3 linked regions of the Anolis sagrei genome follow. The protein of the gene in region 1 purifies or fractionates together with the protein of each later gene. This does not show direct contact. Links are inferred from orthologs where the notes say so. Each region holds a gene or a part of one and is shown on either strand. Other genes may lie near its edges.

What was found. The genes of interacting proteins can lie anywhere in the genome.
Region 2: the proteins of PHLPP1 (region 1) and SUGT1 purify together in Homo sapiens (affinity purification with mass spectrometry; 5 studies listed by BioGRID and IntAct, with this or other methods). This does not show direct contact. The link is inferred for Anolis sagrei from reciprocal best matches to the Homo sapiens genes PHLPP1 and SUGT1.
Region 3: the proteins of PHLPP1 (region 1) and USP12 purify together in Homo sapiens (affinity purification with mass spectrometry; 4 studies listed by BioGRID and IntAct, with this or other methods). This does not show direct contact. The link is inferred for Anolis sagrei from reciprocal best matches to the Homo sapiens genes PHLPP1 and USP12.

Annotation. Positions count from the first base shown.
Region 1 is NC_090024.1:89,984,051-89,991,926, forward strand, and holds the start of PHLPP1 (PH domain leucine-rich repeat-containing protein phosphatase 1), read right to left. Parts: upstream 3,009-7,876; 5' UTR 2,816-3,008; coding exon 1,633-2,815; intron 1-1,632. UniProt on the Homo sapiens protein: Protein phosphatase involved in regulation of Akt and PKC signaling.
Region 2 is NC_090023.1:141,080,235-141,087,566, forward strand, and holds the start of SUGT1 (protein SGT1 homolog), read right to left. Parts: upstream 3,021-7,332; 5' UTR 3,014-3,020; coding exon 2,778-3,013; intron 2,703-2,777; coding exon 2,657-2,702; intron 1-2,656. UniProt on the Homo sapiens protein: May play a role in ubiquitination and subsequent proteasomal degradation of target proteins.
Region 3 is NC_090023.1:30,892,552-30,899,737, forward strand, and holds the start of USP12 (ubiquitin carboxyl-terminal hydrolase 12), read right to left. Parts: upstream 3,021-7,186; 5' UTR 2,901-3,020; coding exon 2,853-2,900; intron 1-2,852. UniProt on the Homo sapiens protein: Deubiquitinating enzyme that plays various roles in the regulation of the immune response and inflammation.

The DNA of each region.
Region 1 (7,876 bases):
ACTGCCATATAATCCAGATTTTTCAAAGCAGATAATCCACATCTACACTGCCATGGGAGCTCCCGGTGGCGCAGTAGGTTAAACCGCTGAGCTGCTGAAATTGCTGACAAAAAGGTTGGCGGTTCAAATCCGGGGAGCAGGGGGTGCTCCCCGCTGTTCGCACCAGCTTCTGCCAACCTAGCAGTTCAAAAACATGCAAATGTGAGGAGATCGATACCACTTCTGCGGAAAGGTACTGGTGCTCCATGCAGTCATGCCAGCCGCATGACCTTGGAAGTGTCTATGGATAGGGCCGGCTCTTCGGTTTAGAAATGGAAATGAGCACCACCCCCCAGAGTTGGACACGACTGGACTTAATGTCAGGGGAAAACCTTTACCTTTATGTCTGATATAATAGGCCATACAGCCAGGAAAACTCAGTGATTCCGGCCATGAAAGCCTTCGGCAATACATTATTATTATTTTACTGACACATAATAAAAATATTATTATCATCATTACTAATACTATTCAATACTTCCATATAATCCAGATAGTCTACACTGCCATAAAGTCCACATCAAGACTGCCATAGAATCTAGATTACCAAAGAAGATAATCCACATCAAGACTGACATAGAACCCAGATTACCAAAGCAGATAGTCCACATCTAGACTGACATAGAACCCAGACTGCCAACGAAGATAATGCACATCTAGACTGACAGAGAACCCAGATTACCACATCTAGACTGACAGAGAACCCAGACTACCAATGAAGATAATGCACATCTAGACTGACATAGAACCCAGATTACCAAAGCAGATAATCCACATCTAGACTGACATAGAACCCAGTCTACCAAAGATAATGCCCATCTAGACTGACACAGAACCCAGATTACCAAAACAGATAATCCACATCTAGACTGACACAGAACCCAGTCTACCAAAGATAATGCACATCTAGACTGCCATAGAACCCAGATTACCTAAGCAGATAATCCACATCTAGACTGACACAGAACCCAGACTATCAATGTAGATAATGCACATCTAGACTGACATAGAACCCAGATTACCAAAGAAGATAACCCACATCTAGACTGACATAGAACCCAGACTACCAAAGCAGATAGTCCACATCTAGAATGACACAGAACCCAGTCTACCTAAGATAATCCACTTCTAGACTGGCATAGAACCCAGTCTACCAAAGATAATGTGCATCTAGACTGACATAGAACCCAGACTACCAACAATGATAATGCACATCTAGACTGACATAGAACCCAGATTACCAAAGCAGATAATCCACATCTAGACTGACACAGAACCCAGATTACCAAAGATAATGCACATCTGGACTGACATAGAACCCAGTCTACCAAAGATAATGGACATCTAGACTGCCATAGAACCCAGATTACCAAAGCAGATAATGCACATCTACAGTGCCATAGAATCCAGTTCAAAGCAGATCACCTGGACTGTATATGGCAGTGCAGAAGGGGCCTGAGAAGCCACACACAGCACGAAGGCAGGGAGATTCAAAGGGAGGCGAGCAGGCACTACCCAATCCCTCCCGGCAGAGGGCCAGCCAGATCCCCCACCCACTCACCCACCTACCCACCCACTTAGCCGGCGAGCTACCTGCGTAGAAGCGGATGAGGCAGCCGGTCTCGGAGTCCATGCCCTCCTCCTGCGCGCGCCAGGGGTCGCGGAAGCCCAGCTGCGCGAGGTAGTCGCTTTGGAGGCGCAGGGGCTTCTCGGCGGGGGAAAGGCGCCTCGCGGTCTCCCCGTGGAGCTGGACGTAGAGGCCCAGGGGGGGCGGCGGCGGGGACGGAGGAGGAGGAAGAAGAGGAGGCGTTGCTGCTGAAGGCGAGGAAGCCGCGGCCTTAGTAGTCGTCGTCGTCGTAGTAGCAGGAGCAGCAGAGGGGGCGCCTTCTTCATCTTCTTCTTCCTCTCCTTCCTCCTCCATGGCCTCCTTCTTCTTCCGCCTCCTCCTCCTCCTCCTGGGCTCCTCGGCCTCCAAGTCCTCCAAGGAAGACGCCGAGGAGGAGGAAGAGGAAGAAGAGGAGGAGGAAAAGCCTTCTTCTTCTCCTCCTCCTCCTTCTTCTCCCTCGGCGCTAGGGCTGAAGCCCTCCGAGTCGGAGCCGCCGGCGAGGGACGGGCAGGAGATCGGCGGGCCCGACAGGTAGATGGAGGCCTTCCCCTCCTCCTCCTCTTCGTCTTCTCCTTCGAGATGGGCCTCCTCGGCTTCTCCTTGGCCCTCTTCTTGGCCCAAGACGCGGAGAGCCCCTCCTCCTGCCCTCCTCTGCTGCTGCTGCTGCAGCCTGGCTGCCACTTGCCCCGCGGTGGTCTCCAAGGTGCACAGCACCGGCAGCAGGTAGCAGTGGTGGTGGTGGTGGTGATGGTGGTGGTTGGAGTAGTAGACATGGACGCAGCCCCGGCGGAGGTCCCGCCGCACCCAGTCCCGCTCCGGCGCCTGCAGAGGCTGGACCTGCCGCGGGGGCTTCGGGAGAAGGAGAAGCGCCTTCCGGTCCAGGCTGCGCGAGGCCGGAGGAGCAGCCGGAGGAGGAGGAAGCAGCGAGGGCGAGGCGGCGGAGGAGAGGTTCCTCTTGAGGCGGCCTCGCCTCACCAGGAGCGAGTTGGCCCCGTTGGACGAAGCCAGGGAAGCCGAGGAGGCAGAAGAAGGAGTCGTCCCCGGCGTCCCCTTGGCGGCGGCAACGGCGGCCGCTCCCCCGCGCTTGCGTCGCCTCTGTTGGGCTCCTTCAAGGCCCATGGCGCTCCCGTCTCCTTCTGGTTGTTGCTGCTGCTGCTGCGCAGGTTCCATTAGGATGGGTTAGCGAACGTTCCGAAGAAAGGAGGCGAAGGGGAGGGATTAGGTCGCCATGGCGAACATTCCGCCGCTGTCTCCTCCGCGTTCCATCCGGCTCAGCCTCGCCGCGCGCGCCATTAGCCGCTGACTGGACTGGGCGGGAGAGGCAGGCAAGCGCGCGCCTCCGCCTCCTCCTCCGCTTCGCCTTCCCTTCCAAGGCCCCACCCACTAAGCCAAGCCTCTCCTCTCTTCCCCCTCCCTCCTCCCGCCTTATGAATATTCATAAAACCCTCTTCGCCTTTCCTTTTCAAGGCCCCACCCACCAAGCCTCTACTCTCCTCTCTTCCCCCCTCCTCTCGCCTTGCCTTATGAATATTCATAAAAACAGGATTTGCTTGCTCCTCCTCCGCTTCAGAACGTCATCGCCTCTTCGCTTCGCTTCCAAGGCCCCACCCACCAAGCCTCTACTCTCCTCTCTTCCTCCTCCCTCCTTATGAATATTCATAAATAGGAGGAGCTTGCTCCTCAGCTTCAGAACGTCATCGCCTCTTCGCTTCGCTTCCAAGGCCCCACCCACCAAACCTCAACTCTCCTCTCTTCCCCCCTCCTTCTGCCTTATGAATATTCATAAACAGGATTTGCTTGCTCCTCCTCCGCTTGAGAACGCCACCGCCTCCTCTTCGCCTTCCCTTCCAAGTCTCCACACACCAAGCCTCTACTCTCCCCCCCACCCACCTTATGAATATGCACTCCCCCTGAAGCCACAGGTCCGCAGTTTGGGAGTCCTCTTGGATTCATCGCTTACGCTTGAGGCTCAGGCCAGGCCCGTAGCCAGGATTTCCATTGGGGGGGGGGCGTTTGTTTGGGGGGGGGGGCTGAGTCTGAGTGAAAGAGGGTCTACCCTAGCAAATCTTTTGTATCATTACCCCAATACCCCCATGCATGTGGGATATATTGAGTATAGTGATCAGATCATGATATGAATAAACATAACAGTTTAAATAATGCACCAGTAAGGCCTTTTTGTGGACCATCATGAGAATTTCGGGGGGGGGGGGCTGAAGCCTGGCTCAGGCGTCGGCGGTGTCCGGGAGGGCTTTTGCACAATTGAGACTTGTGCGTCAACTGCGACCGTACCTCGCAAAGGCTGATCTGGCCAATGTGGTCCATGCCTTAGTCACCTCTAGATTGGACTACTGTAATGCGCTCTACATGGGGCTGCCCTTGAAAACGGCTCGGAAATTTCAACTGGTCCAACGGGCAGCGGCCAGGATGTTAACTGGTGCTCCCTACAGACAGAGGTCAACCCTCCTGTTCAAGGAGCTCCATTGGCTGCTGTTTATTTTCCGAGCGCATTTTAAGGTGCAGGTGCTTACCTACAAAGCCCTAAACGGTTTGGGACCATCCTACCTGCGTGACCACATCTCCGTTTATGAACCCACGTGCTCACTTCGTTCATCCGGAAAGGCCTTGCTCGCGATTCCGCCTGCGTCGCAGGCGCGTCAGGTGGGGATGCAAGACAGGGCCTTTTCTGTGGTGGCCCCCCGACTCTGGAACACCCTCCCCAAAGATCTTAGACAGGCCCCTACGTTGGCAGTCTTTAGGAAGAACTTGAAGACCTGACTGTTCCGATGTGCCTTTCCAGAATAGGAAAACTCCAACGACAAGTCCCAGAAGCACTGTAGTAGAAATTAAGATTGCTAGCACACTGCACTTACCCTATAATCCTTACATATCACCTGTCACATCAGCACTTTTAATCTGTACCCTTTACTCTGGCCCGGCCCAGTTTTATTGTGTCTTGGTGTATTGTTTTATTGCTTGTTGTTTATATTGCTTTAACTGTTTTTGATTTGCTTTAGGTTGTGTATTGTTATGTTATGTTTTGAGGCCTTGGGCTTTGTAAGCCGCATCGAGTCCTTCGGGAGATGCTAGCGGGGTACAAATAAAGTTAATAATAATAATAATAATAATAATAAACAGGATTTGCTTGCTCCTCCTCCTCCTCAAAACGCCACCGCCTCTTCGCTTTCCCTTTCAAGGCCCCACCCACCAAGCCTCTACTCTCCTCTCTTCCCCCCTCCTCCCGCCTTATGAATATTCATAAAACAGGATTGGCTTGCTCCTCCTCCGCTTTAGAACGCCGCTTCGCCTTCCCTTCCAAGGCCCCACCCACCAAGCCTCCACACTCTTCCTCCTTATGAACAGGATTTGCTTGCTCCTCCTCCTCTTCAGATCTACTCTGCCTCCTCTTCGCCTTCCCTTCCAAAGCCCCACCCACCAAGCCAAGGCTCTACTCTTCCCCCCTCCCGTCTTATGAATATTCATAACACAGGATTTGCTTGCTCCTCCTCTTTAGAACGCCTCCGCCTTCTCTTCCAAGGCCTCGCTCAACAAGCCGTTTCTCCTCTTCCCTTTCCCCTCCCCCTTATGAATATTCATGATCAGGATATGCTTGCTCCTCCTCCTCCTCTTTAGAACACCACCGCCTCTTCGCCTTCCCTTCCAAGCCTCCTCTTCCCCTCCCGCCTTATGAATATTCATAAACAGGATTGGCTTGCTCCTCCTCCTCTTCAGAACGACGCCGTCGCCTCTTCGCCATCCCTTCCAAGGTCCCGCCCACCAAGCCAAACCTCTCCTCTTTCCCCCTCCCTACTTATGAATATTCATGAGATTGTTTGCTCCTCTTTAGAACGCCGCCGCTTCTTCGCCTTCCCTTCCAAGGCCCCACCCACCAAGCCTCCTCCCCCCCCTTATGGCATATTGACATTGTCTTTTTTAAAAAATCCCCATATTCATAAGGCGCGGTGACGCCATCTCCTCGTGAAATGGGCTGAGGGATAAACAAAACGTGACCAAAGCGGAACAAAAAGGCATGCTGGGAAATGTAGTGCCCTGGCTTGGCTTTGGAATGAGGGCAGAGGCAAACGCGAACTGCATTTCCCGTCAGGCTTTGCTTCCTGTGAGAGAAAGCGCTCTTTTTCGTGGCGGCTCGGTTTCCCCGCCCCTTTTTTCAGAGCGCCACGCCCCCTGACGGTGCCGCGCGTGCCCTTGACTCTTGTCCGGAGAGGCCCCGCCCCCGCCGCCCAGGGCTTCTTCCCGCGCGCCCTGACGCTTCCTCGACTCTTGCAGGGAAAGGCGCCCAATAGGCCGCAATAGGGACGGGGCTGAATTCGCTCACGTCGCTGAATCTACAAGGCATGCAATTGAGGATACTGACTGTACTCTTACACGGAAATGCATGCCAGGCCGTAAGAATCAAACCTCCCCAGTGGATCTGAAGAGAGGTGGCCTTAGTAGGGGTGCGTGATCATGTGAAAATTTCATTACTGTAACGCGGGTCCGTTACTGTAATGCAATTCCGTTACTTTTTCGTTATAGTAATTGCACAAGTGGGGAAACTTTCTCCCTTGTTTTTACAGCGATCAGGGTGAAACATGCAACAATAGCAGAACACATAATAATAATAATAATAATAATAATAATAATAATAATAATAATAATTTTATTTATACTCTGCCACCATCTCCCCAAAGGGGACTCGGGGCGGGGTATACGACTCTTGGCCCATCAAGTTTCAGAACGTTTCACTCATCCACTGATTTTGGGGAACTTTCAAAGTTTGTCTAAACAATTACAAAAAAAATTACAAAAGTGATCTTGAATTTTCTACACAATGACAGAAGGTAACAGGGATCATTCCCCCCAACTTTCGGAAATATTCATACATCTGATTTTAGGGAATTTTTTTAATTTTTGACAAAAAATAATATTTTTTAAGTCCCAACAGCTATCTCATTGAATGTCTCTCATATGAACCAATAGAACTTTCATTTAGGGATTTCTTCCCAGCCCAGCACAGAGATTTACTTTCTAGAAGTATCAGTCAGTCCTCTTTGCAAATTCAACCATACATTCAAACTGGCTGGCTGCTGCTGTGGAGGGACAAATCTCTCCCCTCTCCTGATTGGGGCTTTCTGGTGCTGAGCAGAATTCTGGGAAATGTAGTTTAGGGCAGGGCCTTTTGAATTCTCTGGCATAAGGCTCCATCCCAAACTACATTTTCCAGAGTTCTGTGCTTTCTCAGTCTCTTTCCCAGCAAACTCTGCTTTCTCCCTGCTGCTTCCCTCTCCCAATGGCGGGGAGACCATTAATGTAAAGAGGAAAGGCAGCCTTTTTGGCTTTGCGTTGCTTCCTTGCACTGAAAATGAAACTGACTTCGGAAGGCTTCTGAGGTTTGCAAAATTCAAATGTAAAAGCATTGGGTAAGTTTAGATTCTTAAATTTTTAGCGCAAGCCATGCCCAAGTGTCGGATATCACCTCGTAGAAATGAATTTAATGAATTTGATTCAACTTACGATGACTAGCAAAAAAATTGTACACCCTAATATAATTTCTGGAAAACAGCTTGTTAGCTTTTCCTCCCTCTGTGCCCCGAAGCCCGAAAGCACTGGTCAGGATACACAAGTACATGTATTATAATCAAAAGTAAAAGAAAACCCTTATAATAAAATAAAATAATTATTACAGAATCATAGAGTTGGGAGAAACCACATCGGCCATCTAGTCCAACCCTCTGGTATGCAGGAAAAGCACAATCAAAGCACCCCTAACAGATGGCCATACAGCCTCTGTTTAAAATATTCCTAATAATAATAATAATAAACCTTTATTTGTACCCCGCTACCATCTCCCGAAGAACTCGGTGTGGCTTACATGAGGCCGAGCCCAAATACAACAGTAAAAACAATAACAACAACAGTAAAAACAACAGCAACAAAATAACTCAAAAAACAGAGCAATAACATTAACAACACACAATGACGCAATTAAAAACAATGGCAGGGCATCATAGATCTGTGTGCATCATTCGAAAATACATCGCACAGTCCTAGACGCTTGGGAAGTGTTCAACTTGTGATTTTTTGATATGAAATCCAGTATATAGATCTCGTTTGCTGTGACAAACTGTGCTTTTGTGTCAGTAAAATAATAATAATAATAATAGCATTATTATATTATTATATTATATTATATTATATTATATTATATTATATTATATTATATTATATTAT
Region 2 (7,332 bases), on another chromosome or scaffold:
TTGATGAAACACAGTTTGGGAACCTCTGCTCTACAATGTTAAAGAACTTTCTTAAAACCTTAACTTAACCACCTGCTTCGCCATATGCTTGGGTGCACAGAAACATTTTAACTGCTTTTTGAAGGGGGCAACGAGAGGGCCATTTTGATTTCCTTCAGAAGGGAATTCCAGAAGTAGGGGGCAAATGCAGAGAAAGCCCTCTCTCTTGTACCCAACAGCCGGATTTGAGGCAGGAGCGCCTCCCCTGATCGCAGTGTCTGGACAGGTTTGTATAAAGAGAGGTGGTTGGCCAAACACTCTGGACCCAAATAATTTAGGGCTTTAAAAGTAACAACCAGTATTTTAAATTTCACCCAGTAGCAAACTGGGAGCCAGTGGAGCTGCTGCAGCAAGCAAGTTGTTTGCTCCCTGTACAGTGCTCCGGTTAGTAACCTAGCAGCCGACCTTTGCAGCAGCTGAAGCTTCTGAGCACTCTTCAAAGGCAGCCCCACATAAAGCGCGTTGCAGTAGTTCAGTCAAGATGTAGCTAGGGAATACACTACCATGGCCAAATCTGGCGTCTCAAGGTACGTGCGCAGCTGGCACACAAGTTTTAATTGTGCAAAGGTGCTCCTGGCCACTGATGACACCTGGGGCACCCCCACGCTGTGTACCTTGCCTCAAGGGGGAGTGTAACCCCATCCAGCACAGGCTGTATCCCTATACCCTGAGCTGCCTTGCAACTGACCAAAAGCACCTCTGTCTTGTCAGGATTTAATTCTAATCTATTCACCCTCATCCAGTCTATTACAGTATATAGGTACCAGTTCAGGATGAGAACAGGATTCTTGGCTGGTTTTAAACAATATCTATATATAAATGTTGTTTTTAAAGGACTAAATAGTCTTGTAAACTGGTTATTTATTTATGTTTACATTATTATGCTATTTTGTTTTTAATAAGTGATATGTGATGATATGTGATTATTGCCTATGTTATATCATTGACTGTATTTGTTTGTTCTTACTGTAAGTCGCCTTAAGTCTCTTCGGCACAAGGGGGCAGGATATAAAAATATTATTTTGGTGGAAAGGGGTAATGAAGTTGGGTATCATCTGCATTAACTCCAAAACTCTGGATGATCTCTCCCAGTGATTTCATGTAGATATTAAATAGCATGGGTGACAGAATACCTGAAAGCAATGGATTCAAATAATCAGAAAGAAAATTCCAAGGAAACATTGGGGACCCTTCTACACAGCCATATAACCCAGAATATCAAGGCAGAAAATCCCACAATAGCTGCTTTGAATTGGGTTATCTAAGTCCACACTGCCATATATTCCAGCCCAAAGCAGGTATTTTGGGATTTCCTGCCTTGATATTCTGCATTACATGGCTGTGTAGATGGGCCCTGAGTCCACACTGTCATATATTTCAGTTCAATGCTGGTGTGGGATTTTATACAGCTGTGTGGAGGGGAATAAAAATGCGGATAGTGGGAATTGTTTTGACTATGGAATATGCTGCCGCCTCCAAGACAGTAGTCTCCTTCCTTGGAGGCTTTGAAGCACAGGCTGGGTGGCCATCTATTTATTTATTTACGACATTTATATGCCGCCCTTCTCACCCTGAAGGGGACTCAGAGTGGCTTACTATATACATACATTATATTATTACCATAGTACAATATCAGTGTTATATATTACTATATTACACTTACCCTATAATCCTTACATATCACCTGTCACATCAGCACTTGGTGTATTGTTTATTGCTTGTTGTTTAATTTTGCTTTAACTGCTTTAATTTTTTAAATTGCTTTAGGTTGTGTATTGTTATGTTGTGTTTGAGGCCTTGGCCTTTGTAAGCCGCATCGGGTCCTTCGGGAGATGCTAGCGGGGTACAAATAAAGGTAATAATAATAATAATAATATATTGATGTATTTTGTTATTGTGTGTTTATTATGCTGTATTATTTTGGGCTTGGCCTCATGTTAGCCGCCCCGAGTACCCTTTGGAGAGATGGTGGCGGGTTATGAATAAAGTGTATTATTATTATTATTATTATTACATTGTACTATACCATTATATTGTAATATTATTTGTAATATTACATGCAATAGAAAATATATAATTATAATATATTATTATTAGTATTATACTGTATTACATTATAATATTATAAATATTATATGTATATACAATATTCATCTATCATGGATGGTTTGTACTTTTCCTGTATGGCAGGGGGTTTGGTCTGGATGGCCCTTGGGGTCTCTTCCAACTTTATGATTCTACACACTATGGACCCTTCCACAGAGTCCTATATCCCAAAATATCAAGGCAAAAAATCCCACAATATCTGCTTTGAACTGGGTTAACAGAATCCACACTGCCATATATTCCAGTTCAAAGGAGATAATGTGGGGTTTTCTGCCTTGACATTCTGGGATATGGGGCTGTGTGGAAGGGCCCTCCAATATAGGAACAGCTATCCCACATCTGGTGAACTGAGCTTTTGTTCAGGAAATGTCAGGCCGTGAGGGAAGCGGGAAGTCGCCACTGTACTACATGATTCTGTTTCGGGAGAGATATAGTTTTGGCCAGCTGAGAGGGAAAACAAACCAAAAAGCAGGGAGACCCGTGTGGCAAGAATGGAAGCTCCCCTTCCTACCTGCACGGCGCCCGCGGGGTCTTTCTCGACGTCGCACTCCGTCAGCCTGCGGAGAAAAGCGAGAGTTAGGCCCGAACGCGGAGGAGGAGCGGGGTGAAGGGGTGGGGGGTTGAGGGCTCACCACGAGACTCCCATTCCTGCCGCCTCCGCCATCATGGCCCCGCCGAGGAAACTTCTAGAGCGCGAAGATTTTGTTTCTTTCCGCTGTCGCGCGCGCCCTGTGACGTTGGAAAAGGCGGTGCCGGCGCGGCCTTTATACGTCAGCAAGAGTCCTCTCGCGGAGGGCGGCGGAGGAGTCAACATTCGATGGGGGGCGGAGCCTCCACGGCAGAGGGCCCGCCTCCCGGCGTCAATCATCTTCCAAAACAAGAGGGAAGTTCAATGTACTGTATTGTCGAAGGCTTTCATGGCTGGAATCACTAGGTTCTTGTGGGTTTCTTCGGGCTATAGGGCCATGTTCTAGAGGCATTTCTCCTGACGTTTCGCCTGCATCTATGGCAAGCATCCTCAGAGGCAGTGAGGTCTGTTGGAATTAGGACAATGGGTTTATATATCTGTGGAATGGCTGGGGTGGGGCACAGAGCTCTCTGCTAACAGGTTGCTAACAGGTTGCTAACAGGAGCGGCACTCAGGGAGCATACTACTCTCTTGCACCAGCTCCACTGGCTGCCAGTTTGCAACCGGGCACAATTCAAAGTGCTGGCGTTAGCCTATAAAGCCCTAAACGGTTCTGGCACTACTTACCTCTCCAAACGCATCTCCTCCTATGAACCAACTAAGACATTAAGATCATCTGGGAGTATTTCCAGGTGGAATGCTCTAAGGATCAGAAGGTAGAACTGTTGCTTTCTTTTTCTGACTCTATAGTGGATTTTCCAGTGCAGGAAAATAAAGATGAAACAGGAGTGAAGTAATGAGGAAAAAGTACAAACAGAGGGGTGTATCTTCTGAAATCCCCTTAAATTTCTATGAACGACACATCGTAATCGTGAAACCATTAATAATCCATCAAAGGAAGGCAATACAGAATAGCTGAAGAAATGTTCAAAAGTTGTTGACACTACACAGTTAATAGCACTGTGATTTTATTTGAACAACCATGTTTCCCTCCTATGGATTTATGGGATTTGTAGTGTACAGGAGGGCATTTTCAATTCTCACCAGAATGCTCCAGACTTCAAAGCCCATGATTCCATAGGATGTTACCATGACAATTAAGGTGGAATATAGAACTTGCACTGCATAGTATGAATTAGGCCCTAAATGTTGCCTCCAGCCTGTGGAGATCTTAACAGTGGGTTTATGGTGAGATTAGGTGAGCCCCCACCTTAGAGAGTTTTAAGAAAAATCTCAAAACCTGGCTCTTCCACTGTGATTTTGGAGATTAACCATTAACTCATATGCCCATTAACCCTCAATATCCATTTTTAGTGCATATGAAGGTCCTTTTCGACCCCATCTTGGAAGAGTTCCTCCCTCATAAAAATAATCCACTCCACTGCTGTCTCACCTCCTGTTTTTTATCCTTAATATTTTATTCAGGACATGCGGCCCACTCATTGTTTTATGAATGATTTTATTGTAATTTTATATAGTTATGTTTTATGTTAATCATTGTGTTCTTGTTTATGTTTTTGATTTCATTTATTTTATTGCATTGGTGGGCTTGGCCTCATGTAAGCTGCCCCGAGTCCCCATTGGAGAGATGGTGGCAGGGAATAAATAAAGTTTATTATCATGATTTATTATTGCTATTTCAATTGTTGTGTGTGATAGAAGTAACTATTTCCATTTTCAGTTCGTTTCAAAATGTTAAAGGAGCAGCAAAGAAAACTTGTTGCTCTATCTTGGCACTGATTTAGGGAAATCCTAAATTAGGGACAGGACAACGATTATGTTGTCCAGTTACAATTATGCTGTATTTTCTCCATTGGCGGCTATCACATACACTGAAGACAGAACAAAGGTCTTCGGTGAGGAGAGTCCAGGTCTCTTGAGTTGTGCTACAAATGTCAACAAAATAAAGAGGTGTGCTCTGTTTCTCCATTTTCTGTAAGTATAGAAAGCAAGATGTCACATTCCTCAAGACCACTTCCTCTCTTCTGTAAAACTTGCTCACACGCAATCTGATAAAAGGCAGGTGCTGAAGTTCGTTCATACATGTGATAGCGGGAAGGATCCACAGGGCCAGTGTGAAAGAGAAGAATTACAGTTATGCTGTTGTCTGTAACTAGTTTCCTTGTAGGTAATGGGTGTAAACAAGACACATTTCGCAAGTAATCTAACTTACATGAACCAAGTAGTCCCTATATAAGAATCAAGTTCCCTTTCCGGTTGAATGAGTAACAATTTCTACTTAATTTCAAGTGTTACTTGTAAAGGGCTATTTTAGGCATTTCTCAGGAATCTTTCCAGCGTTACCCCATTCTCTTATCAATTCTAAGTGTTTCCCCTGAAAAACGGCACACGTTAAAGTAGTAATGGGTAGGAATACAAACTAACATCCTCATCATCCATCTCCTACACTAGTTGTTTTCATCATTAAAACAAGTTTTTGCCACATGTTACCTTTAAAACACAGTAAGACAAGATAAAGATTTCCCCTGACATGTCTAGTCATGTCTGACTCTGGGGAGTGGAGCTCATCTCCATTTCTAAGCCAAAGAGCGGGCATTGTCTGCAGACATCTCCAAGGTCATGTGGCCAGCATGACTGCATGGAGTGCCATTACTTTCCTGCAGAAGCGGTACCTATTGATCTACTCACATTTGCATGTTTTCGAACTACTAGTTTGGCAGAAGCTGGGGCTGATAGCAGAAGCTCACCCCATTCCCCGGATTTGAATCGCCAACTTTTCCGTCAGCAAGTTCAGCAGCTCAGCGGTTTAACTCGCTGCGTCACCAGGGGGCCCGAGAGTAAGACATAATTATTATTTTTAAAATGCTTCTAAAGCTTTACGCAGAACAACTAAAAGCAGAGATTGTGTCTAGCTGTGCTGCCAATCCTGGATTCTCAACTGTAGTTGTGAATCTTGGTTTTGGCTGATAAAATTCAGATTAAAGGTCAATAGACTTTCATTTTTTAAAAATCTATATCAAGAATTAAGTGCAAGAGAAAAGGGTTCTAATCTAGTTTTCTATCCATAGTGCTTGTTTTTTTGTTTTTGTTTTCTACATGCAGGCAATTTCCTTCATACTGCATGCAAGGACATTCAGTCATGAGGGGCATCGATAGCATAGAAGAATACAGATCAGCTACAGCTTGCTTACTTTGTGAGAACCAGATCTCAGTACTTTTCCTATACAAACATCAAGCTTTTCAGTGATGTAAATTGTTTTGATTAAATTTATTTATGTGGTCATGAACATTTATTTATGTGGTCATGAACAATATTAATTATGGGAGGAAATATTCTCTCATTTACAGTTTTATTGAAACTCTGTGTATGCATCTGTATACATGTTTTTTATCATTTCAGAAGTAAATTGAGAATATATTGCAAGTCACTTCTGGTGTGAGAGAATCGGCTGCCTACAGAGATGTTGCCCACGGGACACCCGGATATGTTACCATCCTGTGGGAGGCTTCTCTCATGTCCCCACATGAGAAGCTGGGGCTGACAGACAGGAGCTCACCCCATCTCACTGATTCAAACCACTGACCTTCAGGTCAGCAGTTCAGCCGGCACAAAGATTTAATCCATTGCGCCACTACGGCTCCTTATACACATATATAAGAATGGCCATACAGATGCTGTTGGGAATACAACTCCCAGACCTAGCCAGTATAGACATGGGTGAGGAATTATGGGAATTGCAGCAGAACAGCACCTGCAGGGCCACATGATTCCTTCCCCAGATGTTTATGCCCATCACAGACAACTTATCAAAACTTTTCATACCTGTTTATCAACCCAAACTCAGAACTTACCAATAGAGAAATTCAAATATTCAGCTTAGACTCACAAAAGTGTGAATGCTCAAATGATAGCAACCAGTTACACACACCAAAAACAGCACATAATTCATTGTAAAGGGTAGGGCTTTACATGCAGTTGAACATGTTCATTATTATTGCTACAGCTTATAAGACGTTCATATTAAAATTGATTGTCTTATGATTTTCTTTCTTCCCTGTGGAAATGAATCAATTCAGACAATGGTATACTGTTATTAGACCAAGTAGTGAGATTTATAAATGCATCACACTGTACAAACTGACACATCGCCATTGAAATGGGATTTTTCTTATCAAATTATTGTTGCACAGGCATCTTGCCAAAGCCATGATAAGCAGAAGGAAATTCACCATATCCAGTCTGCAAAAAGAATCCTGTTTCTCTTCTAATGAGCAACTAACATTTTAATTCAATTTGTGTTAAAAAAATATTACATGCACAGTTTAACTTGTAAGCAAAATTATACTCAGCTTCACAATTCATTGAGAGGAATGTTCCACAAATAATCAAAGGGTGCCAACCTGAGAAAACATGCGTAGCCCTGATCATTTTTATTTTACTTCTGGGCCACTTGCCACAAATAATTTGTGTAAAAGCTAGAAGCATATTAAAGCAAATCCCAGCAGCATCATTTTCACTTAGTGCACATGGTTGAAGAATGCAGACATGAAAAAAATAGCTAGTTGCTGACTTCAGCCCCAGCAAATATAGCTGCCTA
Region 3 (7,186 bases), on another chromosome or scaffold:
TTAGATTGACCCCCTTCGTCCTGTCCTTTAGAAAGCAAGTTAAAACTTAGCTATGGAATCAAGCATTTGGAGAGTAGTACAGGGCTATATGCAGCTATGAAGTGAATGCAATGTGATTGGAATGGCTTCTGGATTATGATTCCGGGTCTATATGTACTGTTTTAACAGCTTACTATATTTAATGTATTTATATGTTTGTTTGTTTATTTATTTACGATATTTCTTCCCCGCCTTTCTCGAACCTGATGGTGGCTCAAGGCAGCTTTATAACAAAGGCAGCTATTCAATGCCATTAAAACAATGTAAAAATTACAATAAACATTTAAAACAGAATTATAAAATACATACGTTAAAACCTTTAAAAACATATAAAACCACTACCTTCATTATTAGCCTCGTCGTCCAAAAACGTTATCTAAGCCGTTCCAGTATTCGATTTCACATAGTTCCACGTTTATCTATTGCACTAGATTCCCAAAGGCTTATTCAAAAAGCCATGTTTTCACTTTTCTGTGGAAGGTCAGGAGGGAAGGGGCTAATCTAATATTCCTAGGGAGGGAATTCCACAGCTGAGGGGCCACTAATGAAAAGGCCCTGTCTCTTGTCCCTGCCAGTCACACCTGTGAAGAAGGTGGGACTGAGAGCAGGGCCTCCCCAGATGATCTTAAACTCCTAGATGGTTCATAGGGAGATATACGTTTGGTTAGGTAATCTAGGCTGGAACCATTTAGGGACTTTATAGGCTAAAGCCAGTACTTTGAATTGTGCTTGCTAGCACAATTGTGTTAGCATTTTATGATTTTCATGATTTTCATGCTCAATATATATAACTTGTATGTTTTTATGTTATTGTGGCATTAAAATATTGCAAATTTGGGAGCCGCTCTGAGTCCCCTTCAGGGTTGAGATAGAGCGGGGTGAAAATACAGTAAGTAAGTAAATAAAAATGTAATGTTCGTTTGTGGGATTAGCATAACTCAGAAACCACTTGACGAATTGACATGAAATTTTGACACAATACACCTAACTGTCTAACAAGTCTTCATCACCCCTAAAAACACACAAAAAAACCCAGCTGAATGGGCTTAACCCCCCCCCCCCCCAAATACATCACACACACATATATGTACATACAATGGTTCCCGGCCATTGTTTTTAACTGCATCATTGCGTGTTGTTAATGTTATTGCTTGTTTTTGTTTTATTTTGCTGTATTATTGTTGTTTTATTTTTGTATTTTGGGCTTGGCCTCGTGTAAGCCGCACCAAGTCCTTCGGGAGATGGTAGCGGGGTACAAATAAAGGTTTATTATTATTATACACTCATATACATATACACATGTGCACATACATACACCTACGCATATTTATACCCAAGCAGACACAAATGCGCACACACACACATCTACATACACATATATACATACACACACACGTATATTTAAACGTCCTGCTCCTATTTTATCTCATCATAGTCTGTTAATTGTTTTTTATTTGGAATATGTGGCCCACCCATTGTCATCTCTATCGTGATTGTGTCTATTGGAATTTTTATTTTATTATTTTATTATTTTTAATGTCATTTTGATAATGTTGTTGTCAGTTGTATATGTTTTGATTTTATTGCTGTATTACATTGTCCGGGCTTGGCCCCATGTAAGCCGCTCCGCATCCCCATCGGGGAGATGGTGGCGGGGTAGAAATAAAATTTATTCTTCTTCTTCTTATTATTATTATTTATACCCAAGCAGACACAAATACGCACACATATATACATATACACATGCACACACACATATGTATATATATACAAATATGCATATAGATAAGCACACACATATATACAATATACATACACATATAAGCACACAAATATATACACACATATATACACATCTACACACACACACACACATATGCACACATACATTCACACATACATATATACACACAAATATGCAAATAGACAAGCACACACATATACACAATATACATACACATATAAGCACACAACTATATACACACATATATACACATCTACACCCACATATATACACACACCCACATAGACACACACATATACACATGCAAAAACACATATATACACAGATACACACGTATAAACACATACACAAAACACATATGCACAGACTGGGCCACAGCAACACGTACACACACACACAAATATGCATATAGACAAGCACACACATATATATATACACACATATATACACATCTACACATATGCACATACATATACATACCCACACTCACACACACATATACACATGCAAAAACACATATATACACAGATACACAAATATATACACACGTATAAACACATATATACACAAAACACATATACACAGACTGGGCCACAGCAACGCATGGCAGGGGACGGCTAGTAAATAAATAAGTATTATTATTTGTATTGTCGAAGGCTTTCATGGCCGGAATCACTGGGTTGTTGTAGGTTTTTTTGGGCTATATGGCCATGTTCTAGAGGCATTCTCTCCTGACGTTTTGCCTCCATCTATGGCAAGCCTCCTCAGAGGCAGAGAGGTCATATTATTATTATTTTATCATATTATTAATATTATCATTTGTTTAACCTTTTCTGCCTCACCAAACGACAACTTCCCGGATCCCAAAGCAGTGAAAGTGGTGTCAAACTGCATCTGCACTGTAGATTTAATGCAGTTTGACACCACTTTCGCGTCCAGTTTGGGCACCGCTTTGGCCCGCCCTTCTCCCTCTCCTCCTGGGCCTCCCCTCAGCAACAGCAGCCTTCCTGAGGCGAAGGGAGGGGAAGAAGGGAGGCTCCCCCCGAAGACCCCCTCGGGCCAGGCTCACCATGGTACAGATGGAGGCGATTTTGGAGACTGTCATTAGGATTTCCATCCGCGCGGCGCCATCTTCTGCCCAATCACAACGTCGAGGGGAGCCGGAGGGGCAGAGTCCCGCCGGAGGAAGAAGGCAAGGAAGGGAAGGAAGTAAGGAAGGGAAGGAAGGCGGCGCCGCCTCCGCCTTCGCCTCCTCCCAGCAGCTGGGGAGAGAGAGAGAGAGAGAGAGAGAGAGAGAGAGAGAGAGAGAGGCCGACCAGGACTCCGCCCTGCCTCCAACCGCCCAAACTGCGCGCCCCGCACGCGCAGCAGCCTCCTCCTCCTCCCCTCACTCCAAAGCCATCCTCCTCTAGGCTCCCGTACTCGCCTCAGTGCTCGCGAGCCTCCGCACACGCGCACTAAGTCCAACCTCCCCCTTCCTCCACACGCCAGCCGGACCTACTTCCGCCCACAACCACACCGTTACAAGCAGCCTGGGTCGGCTGTACGCAGTGTTCCCCTGGGTCCTAGCGCCGGGATCTAACGAGAAAGAATGTCTTTGAAGCTGGATTTCACCCTGTACAACAGGGGTCCCCAAACTTTTTAAACAGAGGGCCAGGTCATAGTCCCTCAAACTGTTGGAGGGCCGGATTATAATTTGAAAAAAAAAATTAATTCCTATGCACACTGCACATATCTTATTTGTGGTGCAAAACCACTTAAAAACAATACAGTAATTAAAATTGAAGAACAATTTTAACAAATATAAACTTATTAGTATTTCAATAGGAAGTGTGGGCCTGCTTTTGGCTGATGAATAGGATTGTTGTTGTTGTTGTGTGCTTTCAAGTCATTTCAGACTTAAGTTGACCCTGAGCGAGGGCCGGGTAAAAGACCTTGGAGGGCCATATCCGGCCCCCGGGCCTTAGTTTGAGGACCCCTGCTGTACAACAAGCATGGGCAAACTTCGCCCTTCCAAGTGTTTTGAACTACAATTCCCAACAGCCGAACACTTGGAGGGCGGAAGTTTGCCCATGCCTGCTGTAGAATTAATGCACCACTTATCTTGCCAAGGCTCAGTGGTATAATGTAATATAATATAATATAATCATGCAGTGGTTCTCAACCTGTGGGTCCCCAAGTGTTTTGGCCTACAACTCGCAGAAATCCCAGCCAGTTTACCAGCTGTTACTATTTCTGGGAGTTGAAGGCCAAAACATCTGGGGACCCCAGGTTGAGAACCACTGAAAAGAGTTGCAAGAGACCTCCTGGGCCATCCAGTCCACCCATTACAAAAACTATAGATTGCAAATCACAATTTCTATGTTCCCAGAATTTTTACATTGAATGTAACATGAGAACATTCACACAATTAATTAAAGACTGTTTATAAATAGAAGATAATTTTCAATACTTTGTCAACACAGTGAAACTAGAGCTTCCAAAATAACAATTAAACAATGTCAGGCACAGTGACACAAAATAACACTTTCTATGTTGTCGAAGGCTTTCATGGCTGGAATCACTCAGTTCTTGTGGGTTTTTTCGGGCTATATGGCCATGTTCTAGAGGCATTTCTTCTGACGTTTCGCCTGCATCTATGGCAAGCACCTCACCTCTGAGGATGCTTGCCATAGATGCAGGCGAAACGTCAGGAGAAATGCCTCTAGAACATGGCCATATAGCCCGAAAAAACCCACAAGAACTGACTTTCTATGTTGTCGAAAGTTCTTCTTCCATAAACAACTCTGATGTGACACACGGTTTATCAATACTTTGTCAATACAGTGAAACTAGAGCTTCCAAAATAACAGTTAAACAATGTCAGGCACAGTGGCACAAAATAACACTTTCTATGTTGTCGAAAGATCTTCTTCCATAAACATCAGTGACAGTGACACACAACAAGGTCTCCCGGGTTGTTTCCCTTGTTTCGCAATATCTTCATCAGGTGTTATGATGTTTTAATTCACTAAATAAGAAACACAGCAACATACAGATAATTGTGTGAATGTTCTCATGTTACATTCAATGTAGAAATTCTGGGAACATTGAAATTGTGATTTGCAATCTAGAGTTTTTGTAATTGTTTTTATAGATATCTGTGCATGTTACACATCCAGTCCAACCCCCTGCCAAGAAGCAGGAATATTGCATTCAAATCACCCCTGACAGATGGCCATTCAGCCTCTGTTTAAAAGCTTCCAAAGAAGGAGCCTCCACCACACTCCGGGGCAGAGAGTTCCACTGCCGAATGGCTCTCACGGTCAGGAAGTTCTTCCTCATGTTCAGATGGAATCTCCTATCTTGTAGTTTGAAGCCATTGTTCCGCGTTCTAGTCTCCAAGGAAGCAGAAAACAAGCTTGCTCCCTCCTCCCTGTGGCTTCCTCTCACATATTTATACATGGCTATCATATCTCCTCTCAGCCTTCTTTTCTTCAGGCTAAACATGCCCAGCTCCTTAAGCCGTGCCTCATACGGCTTGTTCTCCAGACCCTTAATCATTTTAGTCACCCTCCTCTGTACACATAATGTATATACATATAATATTTATAATATTATAATGTGATGCAATATAATACTACTACTAATATGATATTATAATTATATATACAGGGAGCATACCACCCCCTGCTGCATCAGCTCCACTGGCTGCCGATCTACCTCCGAGCACAATTCAAAGTGCTGGTCTTGGCCTATAAAACCCTATACTGTTCCAGCCCAGCTTACTTATCCGGATGTATCTCTCTCTACGTTCCACCTCATACTTTAAGATCTACTGGGGAGGCCCTGTTCTCGGTCCCACCAGCGTCTCAAACGCGTCCGGTGGGGACGAGGGACAGGGTCTTCTCGGTAGTGACCCCCCGCTTGTGGAATTTCGCTCCCCAGCTCTCCCAGATTAGATCGCCGTCCTCCCGCCTTAATTTTAGGGGAAAAAACTAAAGACGTGGTGTTGGAGCCAGGCCTTTGGCTAGTGGGCACAGCAGCACTTTAGGCACTGAAGTTGGACAATAGGATTGTTATGAAAATTGGAAACGGCTATATGACCTGTGATTATGTGATTTGTTCTATGTGATTATGTGATTTTAATTAATATCACTGTTTAATTGTTACATAATAGGATTTTATATTGTTGGTTTATATTGTTGTTATTGATATTGTTGACATTGAATTGTTACCTGTGTTAGCCGCCCTGAGTCCCCCCTTGGGGGTGAGAAGGGCGGGGTAGAAATTATGTAAATAAATAAATAAATATTATAGTAATATATATATATATATGCATACACACACACACACACACACAGTATAGTACAGTATAGTATAGTATAGTACAATTAAAACTTGTGCGCCAGCTGCGCCCATACTTTGGGAAGTCAAACTGGCCACAGTGGTCCATGCTCTTGTTACGTCTAGGATAAACTATTGCAATGCACTCTATGTGGGGTTGCCTTTGAAGACTACTCGGAAGCTTCAAATAGTCCAACGAGAGGCAGCCAGGTTAATAACTGGGGCGACATACAGGGAGCATACAACTCCCATGTTATGCCAGCTCCACTGGCTGCCAGTTTGCTACAGAGCACATTTCAAAGTGCTGACTTTGGCCTATAAAGCCCTAAACGGCCCCAGCCCAATTTACCTGTCCGAACGCATCTCCCCCTATGAACCATCGTGGAGATTAAGATCCTCCGGGGAATCCCTGCTTTTCGTCCCGCCATTGTCACAGGCATGATTGGTGGGGACAAGAGACAGGGCCTTCTTGGTGATTGCTCCCCGGCTATGGAACTCCCTTCCTGGTGAGATCAGGTCGGCCCCCTCCATCCTGTCCTTTAGAAAGATGGTAAAAACTTGGCTGTGGGACCAAGCTTTTGGGACAGGGCAATAAAGTGGCAATAGGAAATATGACCAGGCCAATTAGATTTGATGCGGATGACTAGGACTGTTTTAAATGGAGTATTTTAATATTTTGATAAATGTTTTTTAATGTTTATGTATTGTATGTGAATTTGTGTCCCGGCATTGAATGTTTGCCATGTATATGCTGTGCTCCGCCCTGAGTCCCCTTTTGGGTGAGAAGGGCAGAATATAAATGTTTTAAATAATAAAATAGTAGTGATTTGTTGTTGTTCATTCAGTCGTTTCCGACTCTTCGTGACCTCATGGACCAGCCCACGCCAGAGCTCTCTGTCGGCCGTCACCACCCCCAGCTCCTTCAAGGTCAATCCAGTCACTTCAAGGATACCATCCATCCATCTTGCCCTTGGTCGGCCCCTCTTTCTTTTTCCTTCCATTTTCCCCAGCATAATTGTCTTCTCTAAGCTTTCCTGTCTTCTCATGATGTGGCCAAAGTACTTCATCTTTGCCTCT